Alligator mississippiensis: one gene and its partners. The protein of the gene in region 3 purifies or fractionates together with the protein of the main gene of each other region. This does not show direct contact. Links are inferred from orthologs where the notes say so. Each region holds a gene or a part of one and is shown on either strand. Other genes may lie near its edges. The genes, in order: CNTN2, MAP3K14, IKBKG and TNFRSF1A.

Region 1 (7,546 bases), on a different chromosome or scaffold from region 3:
TAAGTGCAGCCACTTCTTCTCCAACCTCCGCCGACTCTCACCCCTAGGGTCTGGATCGATGCCAGCAGACTGCCTTAATCACCCTCTTCGGTGGAATGGAGGCATCCATCTACTTCCCATTACTGGCCAGTCTCCGCTGTGCAGAGAGGTAATAGCGAAGGAGTCACAGCCCCCCCCCAGCCCCCGCTGCTCTCGTTATCCTGACAGTCCCACCAGTTTCCTGCCCTGCACTCAGAGAAAAGCCTGATGAGAAAGTGGTGTCCTTTGCAGTACCAATGCCTTCACCTGCTCTAAAATGGGAGGATAAACACCCATCCAGAGGATTATGACATCCCCCCGCTGCAAAGTAAGGGATCCTATACCACTGCAATGGGCCCAACACAGGAAACTAGATAGACAGGAGGAGCAGGCCCAGGCTCTTCTGGTCTGGACCCCGAAGGTCTGGCTTACAGCTAGATGAACGCTCCTCCTCCGCATACAGCACAGGAAAGAAAGAAAAGAAAAATCGTGCACAACAGCCTTTCCCCCTCCCCACCCACCTCCGTCCCCCCATCCTCAGCAATGAAATCCATGCCAGGAAAACAGACCCTCCATCTCTCCCTTCCTCTCCAACACCCCCACCTCCCTGGCTGCCCTTGGCAGTTTGCTGCCTGCTTCAAATGCCCTTTGCATCCAGGCAGGCTGCCTGGATTTCCTTCAGGCTGGTCCTTCCTTTCCTGGTAATCAATGGCCTTTTGTTGAGGGTTAGGCTAGCATCGTGGGGAAGCTGATTGCTATCTAGCCACACTGTTCTGTCCCCAGCAGCAAAAACACAATGGCTGAGCAGCGAAACCTTGTGTGTGGCCAAATTCCTTCGCTGTGCCTGCGTGGGTACTCAGGGGCTGCAGGGCTTGTGGGGTCAGCGCCAGGCTCTTGTCCTCCTGCAGGAAGCACGGAGCAAACTGCCTTTCAGTGTAACTGAGGATCTGGGCTACCCTGGTTGTGAACATCCCCTTCAGCCCTCTCTCCTGGGAAGCAGTGGCCAGCGAGTCCCTTGCAGCCCAACATCCCGCTAAGCCCTTCTTCCCCTGGAGCTGTGCCTGCTGGGTGGGATACAACCCTAGGCCTCCTTTGTGTCCATCTTCAAGCGTGCTTGTTCTCCTTGCAGGGGAAGATCTGTGGGTGACCACACTGCAGGGTCCCAGTCTCATCTGGCATCAACGGCTGCCCTGGAGGGGGTCAGCCGTGCAACTGAGATGCACCGTGTTACCCATGGAGCTACAGGGATAACGGACACCTCCCCCAAAAGTTTCCAGTGACTGAAAGCAAAGAAAGCAAGTGGCCCTCCATATCCCAAGGGTCATAGACACCAGAGAGTGCCAGATTACTGCTGCAGCCCCACCCACCAACATGCCCCAAATTCAGAGATTTGCACTGAGTCCAGATTGCTCGTCTCTCCCTGCCTGCTGTGGAGATGAACGTGCAGCTCTATTAGGCCCTCAGAAGAACTGTGTGTCAGCACCCTGTCTCTGGGGTCCCTCCTTGTGCACAATGGCAACCTGTAGCCTGAAGGATCCACAAAAGCTTGTTCAGAACCTGATACGCCAATGAAACACTGCTCAATGGCCCACAGCTACCCTGCACACAAAGGTTTACAGCCAGGGGAGAAGGATCTTGCATCTGCTTGAATCCACCAATGGTGCTTAAAGATCAGGAGGCATGTAAGACCCCCATGTCAGATTGCAGCAGGGACAGGGAGGGGTTCAACACCCATAAAAGTGCCAAGGGAGTTTCTATCCTACATAGTCCTCTGACGTTGTTGTAATCATCTCAAGCTCTTCTACAGGGCTGTTCAAACCATGCTACAAAGAAGATCGGTGGCATTGCTCCCATTTTACAGATGGGGAAACTGAGGCATGGACAGGTGCCAGTCACTTAGCATGCTAACAAGAAAGCTGGGAGTTGAACCCAGGATCTTCTGAGTCCTAGTACAGTACCCTCCCACCTTGCTCACACAAGCATAGTGACTACTAGAGGGAGAGACGGAGAACAGAGAAACACACCTGGGTTTCACCTCTCATCAGAGCGCATACAGGTGACCCATGAAATTCCCAGCTGCAAATCAGCCAAAATGCTGCGGCGGTTGGCAGGACAGGAGATCAGACAGACACACGAGAGGAGGGGTGTGATGCAGAACAAATGCACACGTGTTTTGTCACCGACTGCTTCATCTATGAGAAAGAAGCAGCCCAACTGCAAGCAACACTTCCTCCTTCCCGCTCCTGCCCAACCAGAGGAATCTGGCCTTCTGGAGCCTTGCCAATCAATACAGGGACGCTAATGCATTAATTACTCCTCTGTAATTGCAGGCCATTAATGTGTGGACAGACCCAAGCCCATGTCCATTGATCTCCTTCCATTATTGATGAGCTTACCCTGGAGTCAGCGTGAGGCCAGATGGAAGGGACAGAAAGTGATGGGGGTCTTTGCAGCCCACCCTCACGTCCCACTCCCCACCCAGCAGCGAAGAGTCCAAATAGGACATGGTTTGATTAGCCACCTCGTGCCGTTGCTGGCCGTGCGCCGAAACCCCGTCCATCGGCGCCTAGTGTGTCCCGTGGACACCACTGAGAGTCCTATCTGGGAGCAGCAAACAACAGGATGTATTCATTAGCCATAGAGGGTGCACAGGAGGCCAAGCCAAGGTTAAGACATTCCTTGTGGTGACAGTGCCAATTTAGCAGCTGTCTGGGGAGGAGGGGGATCTGAAGCTAGTCCTCCAGGGACAAACAGGCTCATCATACAACCTACCAGACCCCACTTGGGCAGTCCCAGCAGGATGGGATGAGCAGTGGAGGTGGCCTCTCCAGGGGGACAAAGGGAGGTGGGCAGCCTTGCCTTGCTTTCTGTGCAGCACTTGCTCGCTGGTGAAACAGAGGCTTTTAGGGTCCTCCACGAGCATGGGAAAGTCACGATCCAAGCTCAGAGTAGGTGCAAGCAGATCTAACTCTGCTCTAGCCATTGGCAGTATGTGCGTGTCCGTGGGTACACACATACTGCTGGTACGTAGGAAACGCCACCCTAGCTGCGGTGTATCTGAATATGAACTATAGCAGCCAGGTAGGAAACTTGCCAAAGAAGTGAGGATATAGCTTAGTTCAGTACTCGCAGGTAGTGACTACATGCCCAGAGGCCCTCTCATGTACCCACACGTACATGGGAATCCACATGGATTGATCTCAGATTAGTTGGGCTTCATTTCATTTCAAATTGGGAGAGGAAGAGAAGTACCTGTGGTTGCCAGCAGGAAGAAGAAGAGGCTCTGAGTTTTAGTCTAGCCAGTGAAGCTGCACACAGGTCACTGGGAAGCTTCATGTCCCTAACTCTCCCTTACCCTGGGCTCATGGTGGCCTCAGGGTGTCACAAAGTCGCTCCGTTATTAGGTCAGCGTCCCTGCCACGTTTCACGGAGAGCCTTAATAAACTTCTCATCTTCTCTCCACAAAAAAACAAGGAAGGGCTTCTGCTGGAAAGCACCAGACTGAAAACAGGAGACTGGCATGCCACCCCCAGCTCTGCCACAGACTCCCTGCACAGCCCTGGGCAAGTTGCACAGCCCCCTCATGTCTCCATCCTCCATCAAAGCACAGACAGTGGTCATACCCCACTTCCTCATCCTAGCATGTGAACAAATCCTGTCCTGCCTGGGAAGTGCTCAGATAGGACCAGGATGGCAGGGGAAGAGACAAGCCTCGATACAACTAACTTACAAGAATGCCCGTCAGCTAGACTCTCGTTACCAGAACCGCAGGGCACCTGCTTTGGATGGCACAAGGATTCCCAGTCCCTATAGGCAACTACATCCTTTCGGGAGCCCGTCCCGAATCCCAGCACCCTGCGGACTCTGGGCGACAGCTTGCAACGAGCTCCACACTCAAGAGACCAGCTCTCCCTCCGTAACAGGGCTGAGCTGGAATGCCCCGCTATAACCTGGCTCTGAATTATTCCCCCCACACACTCATTTTAGATGTGCGCAGAGCTCCCTGCCCACCCCAACCACGCTGCTAAGTGCCGTTGCTAAAAATCAAGGCTCCCCTAGCTTGGCGGGGTGTCTCGGGACGACACCGAGAGCAAGTCCCACTGCCTGCATGAAACGGGGATGCACTTAGCAAGGCTCAAGCCTTGTGTGCAGAGCTCCTGTTCCCCTCCCTGCCTGCCCAGGCCCGCCCTCTCCCAGCTCAGGCCCGCAGGGATGCCCTCCTTGAATCCTTCGGCACTAAGGATGGGGTGGGTCCCCAGGCGAATCAGTCCAATCTGGGGGTGGTTGTGTTTGAAGCTGGTGAGAGCAGCAGCAGCCCAGGCTGTGGAAGGAGCATGAATTATGTATGACGCTGCAAGTCGCTCTCCCTCTCTGACTGGTCCTTGGACTGTGGTAAATGAGGTAAAGGCAGAGAGCAAAAAACAAAAAAAAAAAAATCCCTCTCTCCAGGGACCCCGAGTGGTGGTTGAAAGCCAGCGAGCGAGGGAGCGCGCAGGGGAGGGAGGGAGAGGGAGGAGCACATCCTAATGCAGAGATGCTGCAGTGGCTCTGGGCGCACACACATCCACACACAGGCAAGCAGCAGCGCCTGGGAAGGACTTGCCTGGGGGAGGCGGAGGACAGGCAGCGACGGGAAGGTTGTTTCAGCAGCAAGGACGCCAGGCTTTCCCCTGCACAGGCGCTCGCCCCGGGCGTGCACACGCACGTGTCAATCCAGGCCCAGGTAAGTGGTCTCCCTCTGCTTCTCCAAGCCTCAATTCGGGAATAGGAGTGAAGGGCTATCTGGATGGCAAGGAAGCATCGATGTTAACTTTCAGTCACCTCCAGCAGCGTTCAGCTTGCCTTAGGAACATGGCATTGGGGGTACCATTCAGGGAACAAGCTGCATGGCATCGGGGATACCATTCAGGGAACCGGCCGCCTGCCCTCTGGCACTGGGAAGGGATGGTGTAGGCAGCGGTGCAAGATGGGTTTTGTCCCTTTAGCTGTTGTCTTGCAAGCTCTCGCTGTGCTGGAAAGGGGCTGGGCGTGGGGTGGGGTGGGGTGTCCGGGAATGTCTCACTTGTGGCTGAAGACGAGAGTGCCTGGATGCTGGTATTAACCACGAGCAGAGCTGTGAAGGGGCGGTGGGTTTTCAGTCATGCTGTCAGCCTACGGTGTTGCACGGGATGTGGGGGCACTTCATGGTGATGGAGATCCCCAAATTTCTCGCTGAAGGGTAGCTACCATACAGAGGGTTTTGCTAGCCTGCCTCTTCCCCACTCCTACAACAACAAACACTGCTGGGTTTCACCCGAGGCTGGGAGAGACCCAGGGCAGCAGGGTGCAGGCAGACGAGCATGGGGATTTTGGTTTCCCCACTGCAAGGAGAGAGGATCAGAGCCACCGCAGCCGTCAACTGCTTCTCCTGTCTCTGCTCCTAATTAGGACTGCAGCTCTCAAGTGGAGAGCAGAAGTTTGGGCTGCTCCGTGTGTGCTGAGGATGACTACTGTGTTTCAGGCCACCAAGGGGTTTTGCAGCCTGTCGGGGAGGTGCAAGGTGGTTGTGGGGGAAGCTGGGGCAACGGTGACAATCAGTGAGGGGTCACCTCAGTTATCAAGTCACAGGTGAAAATCTCCAGGCTGGGCCCACAGGCAAGTGGTGGAGGCCAGAGCCAGGCAGGAGATGATGGGCACAAGGAGCACGAGGCTCCTCTCTGCCCCATTTCTACCAGGATGCTCAAACTGCTGAAGGGGTGGGCGAGAGTGGTTAGCTGCTACAGCTATGCAGGAGCTTGGCTTTTAAAACAAGTGGGTCCCCCCCCTTTTCTGCTCCCTCCCTTGCCCTCCTGCATGATCCTATCTGCCTTCAGAGCAGTTCATTTGTAGGGGGGAAGGCAGTTAAAAAAAAGTCCCTCTGTTTCAAACACTAGTTGATCCTTTCGAGGTGTTGGGTGGCCCAGCTCTATGCCTACATGGACAGGGGGGAAGCAAACTCCTTCCCAGCAATGCCCTCTGCATAGGGCCTGGCCAGCTTTGGTTGAAAAATGTCACCACGGGCTGCAAGCAGCGTTCAAACGACCAGCACGGCTTCAGCAAGCGCTGGCGTGCGCCGCTGCTGTGTTCAGCTGCTAAGGAGACCGCTCTGAACGTATCGGGGAAGAGAGATGATAACAGACACACTGAACCCAATACATTTCCAAGAGCACAAGTGCTGCAAAAGCTGCAGAAGGGGCAAAACCTCCCATTTGGCCAGCTGCTTTGGCAGGACCGACTATGCCCCAGTCCTGAGCTTTTCACTAAAGACATGCCTGGAAAATTGCACAGCCGCGCACCTTGTTATGCTGCACAAACCATGTACCACCCTAACCAGGAGCCCACAGGTGTTGCCTTATCCCACTCTCAGCTCATCTTCCCCTGCTCAGAGAAAAGCTAGCTCCCACCCCTACTCAGCCTAACCTTTGTGCACCTTTTGGACATGGAAACTGCTTTTCTGACGCAAGCAGGAAGCATCCGCAAGGGCCACTCAGCGGACAGCAGCTTGGGGCTGCTGTCCTGATGGCCAAGTGGATCTTTTCCAGATCCGGCAAAACCCAATAGGTGCTTAATACTGTGACTCAAGAACACAACGACACTGCTATCAAAAGCTATATTGTTTGGGGTAATATATAAGGAGCACAGTAAAACTCGTAAGGAGGGGATTTTCCAAAAATCCAAGCTCTGATGACTTTCATAGGGCCGCTAAATACCTGAAGTGCTAAAGAAATTATCTCCCCCATAGTGACCTGCATGACAAAATGGGAGCTTTGGGAATTGAAGAAGTGTCTATTGAATAAATTCATTTGAGGTGACAATCCAGCACGCAGTATTTGACAAGATGAAGCAGGGCTTGCACCGAGTAGTCTAAAACACTACAGGATATTGTTTTTCAATAAGGCAGGAAGGGAAAAGGTTCTACTCAAAACGTGAGCGTCCCCAACATTTGCATGGACCTTACAACGTGGTTTCAGCTTGAGCGAAGCAGGAAAGGCCCTTTTTCCCATGCACTAGTGAAAATCAGAAACACTTTTCCTTCCAGCCATGCACTCTTTTAAGCCTCACAAGGAAGCAGAGGGTTTCCCCAGGAACACTCTCAGTTACGAAGAGCTGTTCCCCCTGTGTAAGAGCTTGTCCCGCTAGTTCAGACGAAGGACGTGCTTGGGCCCGCCCTGCCCAGTGCAACCTCACTCCTTCATTTCCCTTTTCATTCTCCGCTTCTTCTGTTGGCCTCTTTTCCTTGCTTTCTTTCCCCTCTCATCTTTCTTCAGCTTCCTGTCTTTTTTTCTCATTTCTATTCCCCTTTTGGACTCCAGGAGCCTAAGATTGGAAAGGAACACGTGGGTCACTGGGTCCAGTGCCCAGCTATCACAGGCCACCGTATCATAGATGTTGAACCCAGAGGGATCCGTAAAAACAACCCCTCTGTCCCAGCCCGCACGCAACAGGTCACAAGACACCTCCCCAAATGCCCTATAACAAACTGGAGACCTTTAGAAGAAAGGGTTGAAAA
Region 2 (7,928 bases), on a different chromosome or scaffold from region 3:
ATACTGGTGGTCACCCCTGATAAACTTATAGGTGGCCATCAGATCACCCCTGAGCCTGCGCTTTTCCAGGCTAAAGAGCCCCAGGGCTCTCAGCCTGTCATCATAGGGTCTGCTTCCCTGACCTCTGATCATGCGCGTGGCTCTTCTCTGGACTCTCTCAAGCTTCTCCACATCCTTTTTGAATTGTGGAGCCCAAAACTGGACGCAGTACTTCAGCTGCGGCCTCACCAAGGCCGAGTACAAGGGGAGAATGACGTCCTGGGATTTGCTTGAGAAGCATCTATGGATGCAAGCCATAGATATTAGTCTGAAGTCAGGCGGAAGGCAGGGTAGAGATATACCTTGCAGACTAACTGGAGTACTGTGTCCAGGGTTGGGGCCCCACACTTCAAGAAGAATGTGGGCAGATCTGAAGGACTGTAGCAGAGAGTGACAAAAATGGTTAGAAGCCTGGGAAGCATGACTTATGAGTAGGGCCTACTGAAATTCTGGTTTCATGGATTTTGCAGAAACTGCAAAGTCTGGGATTGTCTGTGAAGTCAACAACAACAAAAAAATAATAAAAATAAAATGCTGGTTCCCTACCTCACTGCCACTGTGGTCCAGCTTTGCAGTCCGCCCAGAAAAGGAAGATGCCAGCTGTCGGGGTAGCATGAAGGACAACAGAAAAGATGGCCACAGCACCTTCAATGTCCCCCCACCCCAGTTCTAGTGCTGCTTAAGCCCATGCTCAGGTATGGGCATCACCCCAAGCCAGCACCATTGAACTGTGATCCTGAGTTCCACACAGCTGGAGCTGTCCTTCGCTCCAGGACAGCCCTCCCCCTCACTCTCCAGAACCCAGGCCTGACCCCCAGCAGCCTGGGGCTGGTGCCAGGGGAGGCTGGAGCCTCCCCTACCCAGCTCCTGCAGAGGGGCAGAGCAGGGCAGGAGTAGCCCTGGACTCAAATGCTCCTATTGAGAGCAATTTTGCTCCCGACACTGTGTGCACGTGTAGACATGCACCCTGGAGCACTTTAATGAACCTGAATCTTCTGTGCAGAAAATTCAAATGCATTAACCGCATGTGTAGATGTGCCCAGTAAGGACAGTGTCAATGAAGGGAGAACTGGTATGGTAACAATAGGGACCCTCAATATTTACTTTGAATATGTCTAAGGAGAGGGGTCAGGAATGCTATGCTTTTGTTACTACATCGTGTACACTAACATTGTGTTCACTAACATTTTCAATATTTTCTTTACAACCATAAGAACTAGATAATTTAACTATCATTTTAAAAAACTGACATGTGACATAAGGATCTGGGGCTTTAAGGCCAATTAAGTGAGGCTGAAATTCTTCCTTTTAATATATAGGCCTCTGTAAGGGTAAGAGTTGGGCATTACAGTCCAATATGCCTCTCTTTTACTTCCTTGATGTTCTAACCCTGTGACTGTTCTTTATAGTAAAAATAAGGGAAGAATTCAGAAGAGGGAGATAGACAGGCAGGATTCCTATCTGTGCAACCCTGAAACTTTCCACTGAGATGTCCAACAAAGAAGCTGATCGGACCAGGGTTGGGGGGGAAAAAAAGGAGTCAAGGATCCCAGTCGCATAATTTAGATACAAGACTATTTCTCCTGTACTAAATAAGAGTAAAAAGATCCTGATTATTTGTGGCCTTTTCAGAGGCTTCTCTCACCACCCATGAATTTTAGGTATGAACTCAAATTTTTGTGGGCAGAACTGGAAATCTGATGGCAAAACCTTGTAGTGCAGATTACATCTAAGTAGTCAAGGAAGAACCTGCTGACTACAAAGTATAATTTGCGATGATGGACTATGATAATCCAATGTCACCATATTATTGTGCAACCTCAGGTTGTCATAATGTTATTTGGTAGTTCTGTGTAGCTCCATCCATGTAGGATTCCTCATACTGGTAAGACCAAAGAACTAAAAAAAAAAAAAATAGCCAGTGTGACAAGACTATGAGTAGAAGAGAGAGGTCTGTGCGCATAACAACGTTCAGTCAATATATGCCCAAGGTAGAGGGAAGTAATTGTGCACCTTCAGCCAGAAAAACAGGATCCGGTTACTGCTGAAGTTTCAAGATTGGTCAGAGTAACTTGCTTGGTTTTTTTCATATGAAACCTTCTTGCTGCAAGCTGTTAATGAGTCATCTTCCTCCAGGGCACAAAGCATGTCATCTACTTCTACACAAGTCGCAGTGAATCCGTCTTCAGCCAATCAAAGAGGTGGAAACAGGTGGCCAGGGCGTATTGGGGGCCTAATTTCTCCTTACCCTCAGAGTTTTTTTCAAGTTAAGCATTTCTTAGCCCAATCTGAGAACAGGAAATTGCGGAGACTGACTTATCTCTGCTATCACAACTGTGAATAAGTGTATTTGTCTATGTAATCTAGAAGCTGAAAAGTATATTAACTCTTTGTCTGTCCTTAATAGGGAGAATCAGCAAGAGGATTTTAAATGTATTACTAACTCATGCTGTTCAAAAGCTTAATCTCTCTCTTCATGAAAGCACAACCATCCATCTGAGCATCTCAAGTACACCCCACATGGAAGCGGCATTTGTGTGCCACCACCTTTCATTTTTTTTCCTCCCTTTGACTGCCTTAGTTTGTGGTAGTTCAGAAAATCCCTAGGTGATACATGTACATTTCCTAAAGTAATGTTGGTGGAAATTTAACAACAGAGATCTTCCATTACCTTTTCCCTGTATGTTTCTGCCTGTATGCTGCCCTATAAGCAGCTGGCTCTTGACTGGTAGGATTGTAACTGAGCAATGGCCACCATAAGACTTCGTAGGCTAATATAAAGAGGGGGAACTTGGATCCTGCTTGTTCACACGCATTTCAAGCACATCAGTTTAAGGATAATTTACTTGGAAAAGGATTAAGGTGTATAAATCTGACATTACTTACAGTAGATGGCAGTATTGTACTCACCACAGCCAATTATAAGCCTTTCACAAAATGGAATACAGCTGTTTGAGGATATATTTGGCCACTAATTCTGAAACCAATTCTGAATTCAAAAAGATCTATTTATATATCTATAGGCTGCTGTCTTTTAAAATGACACCAACTACATTTAAAATTAGTGGAGAAATGGCAGAGCATTAGGGAAAGAAACTATGTAGTGAAGTCAACACAAGTTGGCAAGAGTTAAGGACTGAGAGAAAATTGTAGATGTTGGTCCACAGATGGGTGGAAGCCTCAATTCATAATTCCAACAGAACTTGTAAAGAATAATTTGTGGATGTCAGAACTAATACCTTCCACAGAGATCTGCTTTCTCTGCCTTTTTGTATGGACTAATTTCACTAAATTAAATGTTGTTTGCAGTCCCTAGGTTTTCATATGCCAAATTAAGAGTTTTGAATTCAGCCTGAAAACTGGAAGCAGGGAGGAAAGCAGGAAGAACAAAACTTCTATGGATCCAACAATACCATGGGAGCCCAGACCAAGTGTTCAGGGCATAGTTGATTAATGTTTAGAGCTTTAATCTTCCCTGGTAAACTTTGTAGTGCTTTTTCAGCTAAACCAGAAGGGTGGCAGGGGGGGAAAAATGAGCATAAACACAGCCTTTTTCCATGTCCCTTTCCAGTGGCTTTAGAGCAGGAGGGAGAAACTAATAGCCCATGTTAGGCAGAGACTACTAACAAGGCTTCAGACTTGGGAAACAGCCAACAATGCCGCATCATCGCCCTGGAAGTGAGCTTGGGCGTGGGAGGAGAGGCTCAAGTCATGCAAAGAGTGCCTGGTGGGGAAAAAGCATTGGTGCTCTTTATGAAGAAAAAACAGAGGCGTTGAAGGGGAATCAGCAGGATCAAGATGGGGAGTGGAGTGGGAGCCCTGTGATGGGAGTGCCTGTTTGGGGACCTGGGAGTCAGGTTGCGGTTTTTCTTCTATGCCTTTTGGCTCAGATCTCAGGTTCTTGTGGGCCAGGATCAAGTGGGGGCACCCGAATCCCAAGACCTCTGGGCTTGGGCATGCATGGAGGATGCCTGCCAATGGATTTGGGAGTATCTGAATTCCCAGGGTGAGAGGCTGGGATGGAGGATGCTGGCAGGTTGTAGCGCCCTGCATGGGGTGGAGAACAACTGAGTTCTGCCTGCTCAGTCAATACGGTTTTTGGAGCGATACATGATTTGGGACTGGTTTCTTTGATCTGACCTGGAACAAGAAATATATTATTAATAATAATAATAATAATAATAAAATCCTCTGCCTTGCACTTGCCTTCCCTTGGCTTTGCGGAGGAGAAAAGCCACTGGGGAGCCCCAGTCGGGTGTTGCTGATATTTGCTGAGGAGGTGGGAGCAGGACAGGGAAGCGGGGGGCTGCCCTGCGTGCACGGCCCAGGGCAGGTTCCGGGGCACCAGAGGCCACATCCCCCACAGCAGGGGCGAGGCAGGAACTGCGCGGGCGTTGGCTGCGCGTCCAGCTGCCACTGCGAGCCGCGCTCGAGGCCGGAAGGTCCGGGCGCCTGTGGCGGGAAAGGGCTGGGATCACCCAACAGCCGTGGAACGGGCAGCCCCACACTGCGTATGCGCCAACCCTAGACCCGGGGATGAGGAGCATCCGAGCGTACGGACTGGCACCCCTTAAGCAGCCCGGTCACGCCGCGCATGCACAATACAACAAGTTTGGTAACACCCACCCAGCTCCGGGGGAAGGGGGAAAGAAAAGGGTTTGCAGAAAGCCTCGCCCACTTCTGGGAAAACAGAGGCGCTTCTCGGCCAATCATCGGAGAGAGAAGAGGCGGTGGGCGGGCGGTGGTTCTGTCTTCAGACAGTTGCGAGCGCTGCTGGCCGGGAAAGGTGCGCTGATTGGTTGCTGGCTTGGAAGGGCTAGGGATACAGGGGTGGGGTCTCCTCGCTGCCGTGGCTTGCGGCGTGCGCCCATTGGTTGGCGGGGGCCGGGGTGTGTGCTGCCCGGCCGGCCTGGGCGCCTCAGAGTGTCGGAGGACGGGGAGCGGCGCGGGCCGGAGCGGAGCGGCAGGTGGGTGCGGCCGGGGGGCTGGGGTCGGGACCGGGGTCGGGGCGTCGGACCCCCTCACGTCTGACCTCCATCCCCCCGCCGGGAGCCGGGGACCGGCGGCGGACGAGGTGCCGGGTTCCTCACCGAACACATCCGGCGGCCCCGCCGCGTGGGGGACACGAGTTTCTGCCAGCGCCGCTCCCAGCGGCACCGGCCCAGCGGGAGGGAGCACCGCGCCGCGCCTCTCGGCCTTTCCCTGGGGGCCGCCTGCGCGGCCGCACCTGCCGGCCGGCCGGCCGGCCGGCCCACCCGCGCTCGGCGAAAGGCAGGGGACAGCGGCACCTTGCACACTGACGGCAGCGTGTGGGGTGGTAGTCGTACACCCACCATGCCACATGCACATATACACACAACCTTCTGCCTATGTGTACGCACACACCCACATATGCACATGTACAAAATCACAACCATGCGGTGGCGTGTGTGAACAGCCTTGCATGCCTGTGTGTGTGTGTGTGTGTGTGTGTGTGTGTGTGCACGTATACAATCGCAGCTTTACATGTGTGTGCTTGTGTACACACGTATCTGGTCATGTGCACACATGTGGTCATGTGTGGATGTAGATTTGTGTGGTCACCAGTGTGCGTGTGTGGAGATGTGTGGTCACAAGTGTGCATATGTGCACAGAGTCATAAAATCTCAAGCTTTCTTGAGGTGATGCTCACTGTATCCAAAGCTGCAGAATGCTGCTTTCTGCACCAGTTGCACAGAAGTTAAATTCTTTTAGCAGCAGCATTTTGAGGGATACTGCTAGGAAAATGACTGCTTGGTCCAGGCAGTGTTCTGGAGAGTGGCAGGCTTCTAAATAGTTTGCAGGGGTGTGTGTGTGGACACCAGGTGTTTCCTTAATGTGCTGTGTTGGATTGTGATCGTTCCTTACATTCTAGCACCAAGGTCACATTTATTTCATGGAAATGTGTTGTTGTACTTCTGAATGACCCCGCAAGTTTTGTCTAATATGTATTTTAAGCCTAGATGATGGAGCCTTGAATTTACTTCAGCTGAGCTGTGCTTTTTTTTCCTTTTTCTCTGTTCTGGTGAGATCGTCAGAGGAGATCAAAAGAGATGTTTTTAGCTTAGATGTTGTTTTGCTGCTAGTAAGCAAACTTTCCTTTTTGGTTTTTGAAATAACTAATTTCCTGCCTGCTTTCTGTCTAAGGCAGAGTGCATTAAAGAAGCACTTCAGATAAGAGATTAAGTTGCAGACTTTGCTGTTTTGATTGGGTGTTGCTAGGCACAGATTTACAAAGTTATTCATTACAGTGGGGAGAGAGAGAATGAGGCAGTTAAGACCTTGGGATCAGTTGATCAAAATATAAAAGTGAATAAGATCTGTAGTCAGTTAAACTGTCTTTGTACTCGGTTCTCATTTGACCATATCACTTTTTCTTTTAAACAATTTTTGGCAAAATGTTCTAGTACTTCTGGACTGGTTAAGTTACTGCAGTGGGTGTTCTCAGATGCTTCCTGTCTGCTGCTTTTTGATATTAGTTGAACTGAAAACATATGTACATAGTACCCTGCTGTGTACATCAGAAATGGCATCATGAAATTGGCATGCATAAATAACTTTCAGATTGCTTTTTATGGGTCTTTTTTATGAGTTGGACACTGCAGATGGGAATTAAAATCCTGATTCAAGGTATTGAGCATTGAAGTGCTATAAATGTTCATAGCACCATCTAGCTGGCCTAAAACTAATGACTTTGCAATGAATATGTTTTGAATTAGTCATCAGTTATTAACTATATTAAATGTTAGCTTTCTTTTGGGGAAAATAAAGATTCTAAAAAAAAAAAATGTACTGTGTGACCGGAAATATAGGTAACTTGAAATCATGTTTATAGTACATCAGGAGTCCTTTTAAGTGTGTGTGTGTGTGTGTGTGTGTGGAACTGAATGAAAACCTCTAGGAACATGTGGGAGATGATTCAAAGCCTATTGAGATTATTAGGCAGACAAGGTTCTTTGGGTAAATGTGATATCTTTTACCCTCTGCCTGAAGAAGGATGTTTGTACCCAAAAGCTTGCAAAGAAGAATTTTCCCAACTATTTTAATTGGTCTAATACAAGATATCAGCTTTACCCAAAGAACCTTGTCTGCCTATATCCTTAGATCAATATGGCTACAACCAACACCCTTGAAACATTGAGATTATTAGGCATTTTGAAGGGAAAGAGCATTGGATTCAAGCTGTACAGCAGCTTCATGAGAGGGCGAGTCCTTTCGTCTTAAGATTGTTGGACTGCTTGCTTTTTGTATTTTGGCATGTTGGTAACATGATGGATAACCTGGAAGTGACTAGATGAATCTAAAAGTTGAATTTGTAGATGGTACATCATTTAAAATGGTTAGCATTTGACTAATAGTAATTTCCTAAGATTAAACAGTGAAACTGAGCAGTTCAGTTTCACTTTCTGGTTCTCATACCTCACTGCAATAATGTTTGGGTTCACAAGACTGAAGGGGAATAGTTAAACGAAGCTTATGTGTGAAGTTGAGTAAAACCATTTAAGTGAAAACTGATGTCCTGCTGATGTTACTTGATATTTTAGTGTAAGGGTAGATGGCCTAATGGCCTTGGAGTTTACAGTATTTTGTAATATTTGGCAATAGCTGTGTCCTGTCTACCCAAACAACATTGCATTGTTAAAAAGCTGTTCTGCTACATGGTTCATGTAGAACCTAACTGGGCAGCATCCTTCAAATGCTCTTTTATTTTAAGTTAGGGAAGTGATATTCATGAGTCAATTCCCTGTAAAAGTGCTTTGGGGTGGGGTGGGGTGAGGGTGGGGGGTGGGGAGAGGATGGAATCAAGCTGTTGTATCTATTAATGTGCCCTGAAGGCTGCTGGGGTAGTATAGAAAACTAAATGTGTCTAG
Region 3 (7,317 bases):
TGGGGTCAGAACGGATCCCCCCCCACCGCATGTGATAGATCCCCCCAGGGTCAGGCCAGGCTTGGAGCCCCCCAGACATCCTGGTGCCCACCTTCTCATCCCGCACGTCATCAGGGTGGGTGGAAGCTGGTTTTTCCATGGCCACAAGGCAGAGCATCTGCAGCAGGTGGTTCTGCATCACATCGCTTCCGGGTGGGAGATGGGGGGAAGGGAGGGGGGTCAGTGCCAGTTCCACAGCCCTTCCCTCTGCCTTAAGAACATGGCCCCCAACCATCCCACCTTGCTCTGAGTGCCCTGCCCTGGCTTACCGGATGATGCCGAACTCATCAAAGTAGCCGCCACGGCCCTCTGTGCCAAAGGGCTCCTTGAAGGTCAGGATGACACAGGCCACATTGTCCCGATTCCAGATGGGCCCGAAGATCCGGTTCCCAAACCTGCCCAGGAGGAAAGCACAGGGTGCGTGAAGGGCTATAGGAGGGGTTGGGGTCTCATGTCCCCACAGCCAAGGACTGGCCTCCCCTGTGCTGACCTGAGCACCATGAGATTCTGCACCATCTCCTTGCCCAGATAGTGGTCGATGCGGTAGATTTGGTCCTCACGGAAGAGCCCCGCGATGTGGTTTGACAGCTTGTCTGAGCTTGCTAGGTCTTTGCCGAATGGCTTCTCCACAATTACCCGTGTCCAACTCCTAGAGAAGGGGGTGGAGGGGGCATGTTACGTGTGGTTGCAGCCTGGGCTGGCCCTGAACCCTGCCACCCATCTCCCCGCCCTGTGATTTCCTGCCAGCCCCACCCCCGTAAGGCTCCTCACCCCTGGCTCATACACACCCTCCATTCATCCTCCAGCTCCATGGCCTCTGACCCCCACCTCTGCTCCCCAGCTCCTCACCCCTGCCCCACACAGATTTGCCTCCCCATCAGCCACCACCCCCTTACCCCTGGTCCATGCAGGCCTGCCCCATTCAGTCCCCAGCCCCTCACTACCAGCCCTGTGCCCTCTGACCCCTTGCCCCTACCCCACATAGACCCCTTCCATATCATTCCCCAGCCCACACTCCACACAGGCCTGCCTCCACCCCCTCATTCAGCCCCCAGCACCTCATGCCTGCCACACACAGGCCTGCTGCCCCCCGACCTCACCCCTGGCCCATGCAGGCCTCCTTGATGTGGTGGGTGACATCCTCATAGACACTGGGGGGCAGGGCCAGGTAGAAGAGCCGGTTGGCCTGGCTGCCCTTGGGCAAGCTGCGCAGGTGGGCGTCCAGGTGGGCAAAGGCTGCGGGCTCATCATAGCGCCCTGACACATAGCTGTTGCGGGCGAAGAAGGCCTCCAGCTTCTCCCGCTCCTCTGGCACCACCTGTCACATGGGGAGAAGCCCTGTCACTAGAGGAACCCAGACCCCAACACACGAGCCCAGCCCCAGGGCATGGGAGGACCCCAAAACAGCTTCCCACCTCCAACACCCTGCTGCAGGATCCACCCCCTCAAGACCCCAGCTCTGGGGCAGGAACAGAGGTAGGGCTTGCCCACCTTGAGGTAGGGCTCGCTCTGACGCTGGATGTCAGCCACGGTGAGCTGAGAGCGGGCAAAGCCAACAACGTAGGTGTCATCAGGCAGAAGTCCGTCACGGAATAGCCACCTGTGGTAGAAGGGGGCAGTGTATTAGGGCTGTGGGAATGCTGGGAGAGGGATGGGGGGCAGGGATCGGCACTTACCAGACTGTTGGGTAAATCTTTTTCTTGGCCAGGTCGCCCTTGGGGACAGAGAGAGAGAGAGAGAGAGAGAGAGAGAGAGAGAGAGAGAAAAGCGGGGGGGGGGGGGGGGGGTATCACAATGGGGCACAGCCCAGGATCCCTCCAACCCAGTCCCTTTCCCAAGGGCTGTACCCTGCTCCCCTCTCCTGACACAGCACTGTTGTTGGCCCCATTGTTGTGAGACTTTTGTGCCTCTATCTAGGTCAGGGCAGCTTACCCCCGCCCACAGTGGCCGGCCTTCTCACGCCACCCAATAGGACTGGGACTGATGCCAGGCTGTGCCTGCCCAGGGGCAGGGAAGGGGTAGATTTGGGATTGCTAAGCAATGGGAATCTGCTGAGTCAAGGGGGCTGGGCCCTGGACAAAAGGCAAGCATGGGGGGGTGGTGCTGGCAAGAAGCCAGGCATCCCCTGGCAGCCAGAGACTCACTGGGTGTTGGCACCTCCTTTATCTGCCCTTTATCTACCACAAACACTCAACAGCTCACCAAACCTGCCTGGGGTGGGGGAGGAGGGTCCCAAGGCCCAGCTCCAGGGCTGCCTCCATTTCCCCACTTCAAGGCAAGGGAGAACCTCCCCCTACCCAGGGCACTGGCTGGCTGACTGCCCAGCCCCCAGGCTTCTCTGGTCCCAATCCTGGCTCAGGAAGGAGGGCTCAGTATGTCCTAGACCCTCTCCCAATATCCCCTGCCCCTGAAGCTGTATGTAGCTTCCACGGAGAGGGGGTGTGTGTGTGTTGCTCCATGGCCCATGCTAATTGGGGCAGGCTGGGACACAAGGACTGCACTCACGGTGACTTAGCAGAGCCAGGCTCCCCTGACACCCCCAGCAATGGGTGCTCAGGGTACCCTCTGTCCGCTCCCCACCTCCACCCACCCAAAATCTCCTGCTGGGGCCACGCTTGGAGCAGCAGCATGAGGCACAGATGGCATAGGTGGGAGGCACCAGCTCCCCTAGGGTGGGAGGGTGACCTCAGGGCAATGGGTTTGAAAGCACCAGCCTGCGAGGCTGGTGGGAGGGAGAAGGGGTCAGGCCATCTCCACCACCCCAGGGCTGCATCATGCCTGGCTCCAGCCCTTGAAAGCCTGGGTCCCCTAGGGAGTGCCTGGTTATTTCTCTTATGTGGATATGTGGACCCAGGTGCTAGGAGCTACCCTCCCAGGGTCACAACCTCACTCCCAGCCCCCAGCGTGGCACAGCAGAGAGGGAGAACTGGTTTGCATCCTGGATACCTGAGTTCCTTGTGTGCACAAATAAGCAGTATAGAAGCAGAGGAGGTTGTCACTCCTCCCAACCCCCCTCAACAGGGAGAGGCTCTTGGGAGACAGTGGGAACCCCCCAGGGAAAGAAGAGCACTGTTCTGGCCATGGGGCAGAGGGTGCTGGGGGCAGGAGACCGGGCCAGAAGTTAGTAGTATTTGGAGGGGGCAGGCACACACATCTGGGGCTGGTGGTATGCAGGGGGAGGGCAGGGGCACGGCCCCATGGAGATGCCCCTGCCATGCTCCAGGGCCCTAAGCTCGGGGGCTGCTTCCAGGCCCTGACCCCAACACCATTCCTGGGCTTGGGGCCCTAGCAGTGGACAGGGGCAACAGGGGAACTACTCACAGAGGCACCAAGGATGACAAAGACATGTGCATCAGTGGGGTGGAAGTCCTGCCCCTGGCACAGCTCCTGGCGTAGCATCCCGCACACCTGTGAGCGGCTGAGCTCCTGTGGCTTGGCCATGGTGTGGTCTGATGGGCAAGAAATGGGGTGTGTAGCAGGGACAGCCTGGCCCATGCCCACGCGCCGGGGGTGGGGCACCTGGCCTGGCCCGGCCGGGCCAACCAGGTAGGTCCCACCTGTTGCAACAGGCCCGGGCTAGAGAAGAGAAGGGAAGGGCTGGGCCGCGCAGAGGGGAAAAGGGAAGTGGGGGTGGGGCAGAAGGGGAAAGGGGAAGCAGAAGGGGAAGGGGGGCAGGAAAGGAGGAAGTGGCGGGCGGGCTCGGCTGGGGCAGGAGGGAGCGGAGAAGCCCCAGCGCAACGGTACTCGGGCAGGGGCCATCACCACAGGGCCCACGTGTCCGGGATCCCCCGTCCCCCGGGAAAGGGACCAGGTGCCCAAGCCCCGCCCCGCCCCGCGGGAGGGGACCATGCACCCGCTGCTACCTGCCCGCTGCGGAGTCGGAGTCGTAGAAGAATCCAGACCGTGGCCGGTATCAGGGTCGCGGCGCCGCTCGCGGCTCCCCATTGCCAAGGCTGCGGCCACGCCTCGCAGCCAGCGCGGACCTGCCTCTCCGCTCCAGCCAATCAGCGACGAAGCCGATCGGTTGGCTCGCCCCGCGACTGAACCCCGCTCTCCCGGGCTAGGCCACCTAGCGTCCAGATTAGGGAAGGGAGGCGCGGGGAGAGCTGTCACAAAGCCTCTGACATCACAGCCTCACGCTCTGCACCACCATGACAGATACCGAGGCGGAAGTTCCCGACTATGGTGCATTGAACTCCCGACGCCCCTTCCCAACTTCCTTCCGGCTCCGGGTCGTCTTAGTAACACTTCCGGGGTAAACAAAACACCGAGACCGGAAGGAGGAAGTACGGCGCGGGGCCGGGAGTGGCGCAAGAGCGGCCAGGTATCGCGGCAGACCTCCCCCCACCTGGAGGTGGGGCCTGAGCGTCCGAGCCCCGCCACAGGGGTGGGACCCAGACGTCCGGGGCCCTGATTCCAGAACAAGCGAACTGAGGCGTCCCCCCCACGCCTCCGCCCAAAGGGGCCCGTCGGGGCTGGATGAGCGGGACCCGCCGGCGGCGCAGCGCGGACATGGTGGCGCCCGGGGGCGGTGATGGGGCCGGCCCCGCGGGTGATGCTGACGCCAACGCCCTGCCCCAGGCGCCGGACCCCGAGGCCTGGCAGCGCCTGGCCGCGGAGAACCAGGACCTCAAGGGTAAGGGGGTTGGGAGCTCGGCTGGGGATTCTCTGTCCACCCTCGCGACCTGGCTCTCCCGGCCGTCGGCTGTTTCCTGGGCTGGGCCCAGGCTCCGGCCTCGGCCTGGCCTCCCCGGTGCCCCTGAAGAGGCCTCAGCAGGCAAGGAGCACGCAGTCCACAGTGCCTTTGGGCAGCGGCAACCCCCCTCCCCAATCTGGGGCTGGTGAAAGTGTGGCGCTGGGGGCCGGTGAAGGGTGCTCCAGGGAGGGTGTGGCTGGGTCCTGACACCTCTGTGCTCCCCCCGTGGCTTGGCAGAGGCTCTGCGGCAGGGCAACCAAGCGCTACGGCTGCGATGCCAGGAGTTCCAGCAAGTTCAGGCCATGCGGCGTGAGGAGCGTGACTTCCTTCTGCTGCGCTTCCATGAGGCCCGCACCCTGGTGCAGCAGCTGCAGAATGAACAGCTGGAGGTGCGGCGACAGCTTGAGTGGTTGCGCAGCGCCTGCCAGGTACTGGGGGTCTGGGTCATGCTGTGGGTCTCCCTCACTCCCACTCACCCTCTTCCTTGGGGGCACGTGGAGAAGGTCTCCGAGACACTGTCTCATTCTCCCCCCCAGCCTCCATCCTTGCTATGCACCCTGGAGCCAGCTGGGCTGGATGAGGCTGACACCGTGACTCTCACCCATGAGACGCCTGTAGCGCTGATGGTGAGTGCTTCTGGGGCCAGAGGTTCTGCATGAGCCTAGATGTCTGGGTTGCTGTGCCCGTGTTTGTCTCCATCTTAACTTTGCTCCATATCCCCCTAAACAGCTGAGGGGGAAGGGATCTGGCTGGGGGGGCTTGGGAGGAGGGGAGGGGTTGGCTAGGCCTATTGTCTCCCAGCAGAAGATGCTGGAGGGAACACAGGCAGCCACTGCAGGGGTGCACACATGTCTGGCCTTCATCCCCTGCCTGCCACCCTGCTTCCCCTCTCCCCCAGGCTCTTGACCGTAGCAAGGAGAACCAGGCAGTGCTGAAGGAAGCAGACACTCTCCTGTTGGGAGAGAAGCCACTGCATAACCAGACCCAGCAGCAGAGGCTGCTGGTCAAGGTGAGGGTATTGGAGGTGCGGTCTGGAGGCATCTGGGCTGACTCCTGTCTCCGTGAGCTGAGATGGGGCCACTGAGGGAGGCAGCGTGGCCCCTTGTGGCAGGACATGACACCTGTTCCTGGGGGGGGAGGGCAGGCAGTTGAGCTGGTGATGGGGGTTGGGGCCAGCGCTGAACAGTTTCTGGTGTGTTCAGGAGAGCGGTACCCTAGCTGAGCAGCTCCTGAAGACTGAATCCTTGCAAGGGGCTGGGAACAACAGGTAAGAACCATGCATGTGTTGAGTGGGGGGCTGGAAGAAGCCTGCAGGTGCCCCACCATGCTCCTTCCACTCCCCAAAGATGAGGGATGATCCTGGATCACTCAGTTGCCTCCTTTTGGGAAAAGGCACAGGGGTTGGGGGCAGGATGGCTGTGTCTGTGAAGCAGGCAACCCCCTCTGGGGGCTCCTCACCCTTTTGTCTTGCCCCCCCCACCCCAAATCCAGGATCAGAGATGACCAGGCTGAGGAGCTGCACAGGAAGCTAGAGGAAACTGAAAACAAGTGTGTTGAGTGGAGCCCAGGGGGTGCCATGGAATCCCTGGGGGAAGGGGGGTAGGCAGTATGGGTGCACTGTACCAGTCACTATCACCCCCCCCCCCCCTTTCCCCAGGTGTGCTGAGCTGAAGCAGCAGCTGGCATCAGCCAGGGAGGACCTGAGCCAACTGAAAGCACAGGGGCAGGAGACAGAGCAGCAGTTCCAGGCCCTAAGAAAGCAGCTGGAGGTGAGTACTACCCTCTCACCCTTGGGGCAGGGGCATCCAAGCTGGGCCTCTGCAGGCTGGGGCTGATGCAGCCTCAGCTGCTCCCCACAGCAGGTGACAGAAGACAGGGTCTCGGTGAAGGCCCAGGTGACCTCACTGCTGGGTGAGCTGCAAGAGAGCCAGAGCCGGCTGGAGACCTGCATGCATGAGAAGCAGGCACTGGCAGAGCGGTGAGTGTGTCGAAGGGGGTGTAGGGTACCTCCAAGGCTGGGCACTGGCTCATACCCTGCCTCCTTGCAGGGCACGGACAGCTGTGGAACAGTGCCGACGGCTGGAGGGGGACGTGGAGGCTCTGCAGGAGCAGCATGGGGTGCAGCTGGACCAGCTGCGGCTACAGGCCCAGAATTTGGAGACAGCATTGCGTGTGGAGCGGCAGGGCGCCACGGAGGAGAAGTGAGGCGGGGGGTAGGTGGGAAGGATGCCAGGAGGACCTGCTGGGGGTGGCAGAGCTGGAGCTGGTGGAAAAGGTCCAACCTGCTGCCTTTAACACCCCCATGGTCTGCTTGTTGCAGACGGAAGCTGGCACAGCTGCAGGTGGCCTATCACCAGCTCTTCCAGGAATATGACAGCCACATCAAGAACAGCATAGAGGGCGAGAAGAGGGCCCAGGTGGGTCCCCAGCAGGGGCACGCGTGTTTGTGGGTCATCCTCCTGGCCTTGGGGCTGCATCACCAGGGTGGTAGGGGACAGCAGCATAGACCACATGTACCTATCTAGGCCTTAGAGTGGCAGTTGGATGAGCTGTCGCAGCAGCTGCAGCAGGCAGAAGAGGCA
Region 4 (6,928 bases), on a different chromosome or scaffold from region 3:
GAAAAACGTAGACAGGGAAAGCAAAGGGGAATGTGGAGAGGCTAATATGAAGAACTGTAGGGCTTCAACTGAACTTTGATCAGCTCTGAAGACTGAAAAACTTGATGAGGATGAGAGTGGACCTATTCACTTATGAAATGACATGAGGAAACCTGGCAAAGGCTTTTTCCTTTGGGGACTGACTTTTTCCCCATAGGTTTTATTAAAAAGCACATTTGAGGTTTTGTTCCTGGTTCCTGGGGAATGATCTTTGTTTGGTCATGTTTGACAACCCTTCCAGGAGCAGGATACTAATCGCCATTGTCCCCCTGCTTTCCTTGTGGTAAGTTAGGTTGCAAGATAGCATTGATTGTATAGTTTTATTAAGGGGTTAGACAAGGATTTGTATGGGATGTCAGGCAGGTGGAAGGACTAGGTGAACTCCAGAGGCCCCTTCCAGCCCTTCTTTTCTCTGATTCTGTGTTCACACAAGGAAACAAGCTAAACAAAACTAGACATGTCTTTTCCATCTCTAAAGTCAGAACTGGCTGTCGCCTAGCAAGTCTCCTGGCTTTTTCTTTCCTGTTCAATATTACAGAAACTCTGGGGCTGAAGAAGCAAAATTATCTCAAGTTTGAGGTGAAGAAGGAGGAATTATTATACGATGCATAGTGATGATAACTTTTTGTCTTCTGCACAGTGTTAGTAGCCCCTATCTAGTAAGTGAGCAAACCTTCTATAAAGAAAATCAATGAAAAGGTGCCTTGACTTAGTCTAGAAAGGTTTAAATGCCTGAATTAAGTGTTAGACTTTTTTTTTTTCCTCCAGATTTCAGTATATGACATGTCCATACTTACAATATTCTCATGTCTAGGTAGGATCAAGTTAGTATTTTGGTTAATGGCTTCACAGGATTTCTGATTGCACTACAAAGATAATTGTACAGGGAAGACCCTGTTCCTCTCTCGTATTGTTCACAGGCAAGGAGTTGCTGCTATGAAATTTTCCTCTCCAGTCCTGCTGTGTGGTTTTGGGAGATGCAAGCAGAAGATTCTCGTGTGCCCTTGAGAAGCTACGTGTGCCCTTGAGAAGCCAAGGGGGCAGCAAATGAAATTCATGCAACCTTTTGAATCTCAAAAGAAGAGAGCTTTAAAGCAAAAATGAGGGCAGGATCCTTGTCCCAAAGAATTTACAAATGTAACGGACAGCAAGCAAATGAGATTCCATTATCATTTTTATCATACTGTTTTCACGTTATTTTTATTTCTACTCATCTCAGTCTTTTAAGGCAGGTATTAAGTAAGGTTGATCTTGCCTGGAGATATTCTAAGTGCTTTTAACTTTTTATTTTAAACCATTTTTAGAAGTGCACCGATATATTGGTGCCATATTGGATTGGCACCGATAAAAGAAAAATTACCATTATTGGCTATTGGCTTTTTTTGGCCAGTGTAGCCAATAATGTCACCAATAAATATAATATTGGGCCTCCAGATGCCACGTGCATGCGCGCAGTCACATGGCCAAGAGTGCAGCCAGGCGGTGTGGAGAGCAGTGCCCTGCGGGTAAGTCTGTGGAGGGGAAGGGGCATGGGGGGGGTAGATTGAGGTTACCACAGTGAGGGAGGAGTGGGGCAGGAACTCCAGCCAGGGGGGTGAATGGGACCTGGGGCAGGGAGCAGGACGAAGCCACAGGTGGCTCGTCCGGGGGGCACGGGGACATGGGGGTGGCTCCCCACTGCTGTGTACACCCCCCTGGGGGAGGCATGGGGAGGGCATGTGCCCCCCAGATTTGTGTGTGGGGTGGATGCGGACTGTCCACTGTGGGCTTAGGGCTCTCTGCTCTGGTGCCTTTGCGCTGGGGGCTCCGTGCCGGCCATGCATCTCCTGCCCGCTCAGCAGTAGTGGGGGTGGTGAGTTGTGCGTCTCTCTGCCAGGCGGGTAGGGGATGCACGGCCAGTGCGAGGCCCCCAGGGCAAAGGCAACAGTGCATTAAGCCCTGAGCCCACAGCGAGCAGCCTACATCCACCCTTGCCCTTCTCAGCTCCACTCCCATCAGAAGTGTACCCGTGCTTAAAAATGGTGGTGGTGGCACTCAAACTATGAGCTTTAGTTCAAGTACCCCCACCACCATTTTTAAGCACTAGGATGCTGATCACCTGGACAAGCTGCCTACGCTGGCCCCAGGTCCCATTCACTGTCCTGGCTGGGCAGTGCCCCCAGCCCCTGCCCCCACTCCCTCCCTCCCTCACCGTCAGGGCCTCGATCTGCCCCCCATGCCCCTTCTCTCTCCTACACCTCTTCCACTCCACAGACTTACCTGCAGAACGCTGCTCTCCACGCTGCCTGGCTGCATTCCTGTAAATCGGTTATCTGATCAGTACTAGCTGATATGGCTGGTTAATAGTCAGCTATCGATATTGTCCAAGAAAATGTTTATCGGTGCACCCCTACCATTTTTGCACCATCAAGGCAAATAGATGTTAATTTTTTCTTGTTTCCCCTTTTAATGTAACCACATTGCTAAAATATATTAAAAGGTCAGCAAGACTCAAATCTTAGAAAATCTTGAGAAATGTGACTTTTTATTACAGTTTGTTTCATATCTGCAAGTGAGCACTTTTTTCATTCTGTGATCCTATAGACCACTACTGACTTTTCTTTAGAGCACTCCATTTTCCATTATTAACAAGGCTTACTCAGTTGGATTGTTATTAAATTAGTAATGAATTAATTATCAGCCAAAGCTCTGTTTTTAACACACAACCTTAAAAGGGATGGGAATAAGAAAATGAAAAACCCAGCATTTATTGCCACCTTTAAGTTTCAAAGTGTTCTCTAAATTCATGAAACTTGCACTTTAATACCAAACCTTAACTCTGATAGCAGGATCAGTTGCATAAAACCCTGCTGGTGTTTCTTACTATGGCACAGTCCATTCATTTACAGTTAATGTCTACTTGATCATTGCAGAGGTGATGATCAAGGTTGTGCATTAGAATATATTGTACTTGCTTCACAGTGTTTTGGAAAGCCTTCGTGACCAATAATTCGGAGAAGACTTCTTGTTTTTAAATGCAGGCTGAGATAATGGAGAACAACATGACATCCTTAAAATGCTGCGTCACTGAGTTGAAGTAACCTAATTCTCATAAACCCAGGCACTTTTCTGTACTGAGGTGACGCTCAGTCTGATGGATGTGAAGGGTTGATGGAGTTTTGTCCACAGTTGCATGAGAGACAGTTGACATCTTTCAATAGCTTATAACTCTTCCCAATCTGAACAGATTTTCACGAGACAAGGAAACTACATTTTCCATGACTATCCCTTGTTAAACTCCAGAGTCTTGCTGCAAACAATTGAGGTAGTAGCGCTGTTAAAAAGTAGTATCTTCTTTTTCTGTCATTTAAAATGCAAAGTAACCAAAATACAGAGCTTGCTGGTGATCCCCTTAATAAGAATCTTTTAAAAAGTTTCTGCGTGGATCGTTAATATAAAGAGCACCATCTGCCGGCATATTGGGATTTATAGCAATAGGTCAGAGTTGGTTGTGCAGAGTTCTTACACTTCAAATTGTTTCCTGATTACAGCTTTGGGGCTAGCTCATGGTCCTTCTCAGCCTTGATGAGTGGGAAGAGTTAACAAATCCTGTGCTCTCCTAGAGGCAAAGGGGTGGGTACTTTTTCTACTCTTCTGCTCCCCCTCTCCAAAAAAAAAAAAGCTGCTTCCCTGGGTCTCCCTATGCCCTAGGGAAGAATTGATCTGAGGTAAGCTTAGCTGAGGGACTGGGTCTCTATCTCATGGGGGAGGGCAGTGTGAATGGGGGCAAGTGCTGAATTTCTGTCTCACTGTGCTGTGGAACACGTAGGGTTAAATTGGATGGTGGGGGAGGGGTACAGTTTGATATTGCCTCCCATGTTTCACCCGCCCTCTTTCCTGTTTCTGCCTCTCTTGGTTTGGCAGGAAGTTGCAGGCACTGATAGTTTCGATCTGTCTCACTCCTTCTGTGAGTCCCGTGTTGGAGTGGGAGGCCTTTTCTGGGTCTCTAGACTGGGAGGCTTTTCAGGACACGGGGATTTTGCCATGGGGACGTAGATCGCAGGAGCATGGCCCCGCTGGAGCCCTCAGTGGGCTTGGTTATTATGGTAAGTGAGGGCTTGAGAGAGGCTGACTTTAAGGCTGAATCAGAGCTTGCGGGGACCAGGGTGGGGGGTGTGCCAGGTGTGGAAATGGCGCTAGGTGTGGGAGGGTTTGAAAAGGAGGTGGGAGTCAAATCTCCTGGGTCGTGTTTGGAGCTGTTGTATCTGGCAGATTGACAGGGAAAAGGGATGTCAGGGTTGTTTGAGTTGTATTTCTGCCCGTGCCCTTTCTTCGAGCCCTGTCTGTCTGTGTGTTGCCGTTTCCCTGTCTGTAGAAAGGGTAACTCAGTGGAAGTCACCCTCTGCCCATCTCATGGGGGCCCTTTGCTGAGGGAGCCTCTTTTTTGGCCTCTGCAGTGAGTTGTGATGGTCCTCAAGCTGGCATGCTTGTTGGGCAGAGGCTCCCTTACCTAAAATATCTTTGTAAAGTTTTTGTGCGTGCAGCCCTCTACAGCTCACCAAAACTCAGTAAGCAGCCCACCAGCCGAAATAATTCCCCACCCCTGCTCTAGAGTGTACGTTAGTAACTTGTTTATATAGCCATGTGATAATTGGATAAAAGGAAACCTAAGAGAAATTGAAGGCTTGCACTATGTTTCTTGAGGTGCTGTCACTTACCTGGATCCTGCTTTCCCTTATCTGCTCACCACAGGAAAGAACACTTTGCTCAGCAGTGAGGGAGCTTGCTTTTCCTGAGGTTCCCCACTTGCCTCCACAACCCTTTAAGGTGGGGGTGTCAAACATTAGGCCCCGTGGGCTGGATGAGTAGTGTGGAGCCAGTCTGCAGGCTGGATTGGGCCCACAGACTGGCCCTGCAGACCGGTTCAGGGCAGGCACCTCATACAGGACGCATGCTGGACCCTGTCTGGCACACACAAGATTTGGCCTCATGCCATATGCAGCATGTGGGACCGATCCAGCATGCTCCTCATATTGGCAGATGGGACCTTTCTCAGACCCACAGGCAGCACCCTGGCCCAGCTGATAGAGCTCCGCAGGCCCGATCTGGCTGGCAAGTTTGATCTTTGACACACTTGCTCTGAGGTCTCTGATTTCTGCTGGAAATGCAGTGCTGAACTTTCCTGTCAATGCTCACAGTTCTAGTGCCTCCACTTCCATGGATTGTCCTGAATCCAGTACCTTTTCCCAACCCCTTCTTAGGCCTAGTCCCCTTTCCTTTGTGTCCAGTGTTCTGCAGCAGCTCAGGTCTCCTTTTATCCATTTCTCCCTCTTGTATCTCCTGTTCTTCCTCCCCATGTATCCAGTGCCCCCCAAGTACCACTCCCTAACACCCTCTCATTCCCCTTTCAAGCATAGCCAGTGCCCTCTACCCCACCATGTGCACCTGGTGTCATTTCCAGTCTTCCTGCTTATTCCTGTTAGCCTGATAGTACTGCATCTACTGAGCACCAAAGTGCAATGCTGTTCCACTTCTCAAGTTCTTGAAAAATAAGAGAAAGGTGAATGGGTTCTCCTCCTTCTTGCTGCTCTTTTCAGATTTAGTCTGAAGTCTAAGGCAATGGTGTGTTACAAAGTTACCCATGTTCATGTTTTTCAGGAGCTTGAGCAGTGTAGAATAAAATTACACTTGGGCACCTAAATGGTGTTTAATGATGGTCTGGAATCTGGCCCTGTGTGGCTGTATAAGAGTAAACCATTTACTTAGAGACCTTGGGGTAGGAGGTGTGTTAAGTGGTCTCAGGGATGTTTGCAGAAAGGGAGGGAGAGGGTGTCAAACTATATTTGGGAGTCTTCAAGGAGCTTGCCACTATGGATGGGACCATTCTCAGACCCACAGGCAGTACCATAGGCCTGTGGGTGGGGGAGAGGTCTGGTGTAGGACTGCTGTGAGGGTGGTGGAGTGTGTACGAGCACCAGAGTCTTGGTGGAGTGTGTCAGAAGTACTCTTCAAGGCCTGTGCAATAGTGAGGTGACTCAGAGGAGTCAGTAAAGGATGAGTTTTATTTCTTAGCTCTAGTGGCTTCTTCATGGCTAAATATTGAATAATGTTTTGTGAAAAAAGTGAATCCAGGGGTTACTGTAGCACAAGGTTCTCAAGCCAGCAGCTGCCATGCACCTCTGCCCCATCCCTGACACAGCAGCAGCAGATCATTTCACAAGCTGCTAAGCTGCTTCCGTTTGTTCCTGAGTTCCCAACTCAACAGGAAGGAGGCTGGACTTACTGGAATGGCAGCACTTGCTTCTGGGAGTTGCAAGTTTGAACATTTAACCCCGGAGGTGCTAAGATCAGCTAGGAGCCTCTTACACCTCTAAAGGGTTAAGGGGTTTCCTTCCTGCGATTTGATAGTTTCATAGTAGCTAGGGTTGGGAGGGACCTGAACAGATCATGGAGCCTGACCCCCTGCCACAGGCAGGAATGAATGCTGGGTTCACAAGACCCCAGACAGGTGATTGTCCAACCTTCTCTTGAATTTGCCCAAGGTAGGGGCGAGGACCACTTCCCTGGGAATTTGACCCCACGCACCTCCCCACTCTTATAAACTACCCTTGTAAATGTGGGGGTTGATAAGGGTCACTACTGACTCAACAGAGAGACGGCTCTGTTCTGACTCACCCATGGCCCTCTGTGTAGTACTCAGTTATTCAGGGTTTGGTGGCAATACTTGTTTTGCGCTGTGAGGAATCCGGCTCAGGGGACATGTTATTAAAATAGAGAGCCTTACTACCAGCCACAATCATTTAAAAATTGCAAGTGAGACCTTCCCCACAAAACCATGATTTTTTAAAATCTAATACATTTGGGTTCTTTTCCTTCTGGTTTTAGAGCCGCCAGGCTTATTTTTGCAAGT

What was found.
Region 1: the proteins of IKBKG (region 3) and CNTN2 purify together in Homo sapiens (affinity purification with western blotting, with the first as the bait; 3 studies listed by BioGRID). This does not show direct contact. The link is inferred for Alligator mississippiensis from reciprocal best matches to the Homo sapiens genes IKBKG and CNTN2.
Region 2: the proteins of IKBKG (region 3) and MAP3K14 purify together in Homo sapiens (affinity purification with mass spectrometry; 6 studies listed by BioGRID and IntAct, counting the BioPlex papers as one, with this or other methods). This does not show direct contact. The link is inferred for Alligator mississippiensis from reciprocal best matches to the Homo sapiens genes IKBKG and MAP3K14.
Region 4: the proteins of IKBKG (region 3) and TNFRSF1A purify together in Homo sapiens (affinity purification with western blotting; 4 studies listed by BioGRID, with this or other methods). This does not show direct contact. The link is inferred for Alligator mississippiensis from reciprocal best matches to the Homo sapiens genes IKBKG and TNFRSF1A.

What each region holds. Positions count from the first base shown.
Region 1 is NC_081837.1:40,559,398-40,566,943, forward strand, and holds the start of CNTN2 (contactin-2), read left to right. Parts: upstream 1-4,545; 5' UTR 4,546-4,741; intron 4,742-7,546. UniProt on the Homo sapiens protein: In conjunction with another transmembrane protein, CNTNAP2, contributes to the organization of axonal domains at nodes of Ranvier by maintaining voltage-gated potassium channels at the juxtaparanodal region. May be involved in cell adhesion.
Region 2 is NC_081827.1:161,165,085-161,173,012, forward strand, and holds the start of MAP3K14 (mitogen-activated protein kinase kinase kinase 14), read left to right. Parts: upstream 1-4,913; 5' UTR 4,914-5,006; intron 5,007-7,928.
Region 3 is NC_081831.1:29,095,947-29,103,263, forward strand, and holds the start of IKBKG (NF-kappa-B essential modulator), read left to right. Parts: upstream 1-4,299; 5' UTR 4,300-4,518; coding exon 4,519-4,675; intron 4,676-4,972; coding exon 4,973-5,163; intron 5,164-5,271; coding exon 5,272-5,361; intron 5,362-5,633; coding exon 5,634-5,744; intron 5,745-5,937; coding exon 5,938-6,002; intron 6,003-6,226; coding exon 6,227-6,283; intron 6,284-6,392; coding exon 6,393-6,504; intron 6,505-6,594; coding exon 6,595-6,713; intron 6,714-6,783; coding exon 6,784-6,936; intron 6,937-7,055; coding exon 7,056-7,152; intron 7,153-7,260; coding exon 7,261-7,317. Other genes in the region: G6PD (glucose-6-phosphate 1-dehydrogenase), read right to left, coding at 92-185, 309-434, 530-688, 1,140-1,357, 1,531-1,639, 1,716-1,753, 3,361-3,488, 3,903-3,984. UniProt on the Homo sapiens protein: Regulatory subunit of the IKK core complex which phosphorylates inhibitors of NF-kappa-B thus leading to the dissociation of the inhibitor/NF-kappa-B complex and ultimately the degradation of the inhibitor.
Region 4 is NC_081824.1:254,190,721-254,197,648, reverse strand, and holds the start of TNFRSF1A (tumor necrosis factor receptor superfamily member 1A), read left to right. Parts: upstream 1-3,923; 5' UTR 3,924-4,085; coding exon 4,086-4,124; intron 4,125-6,928.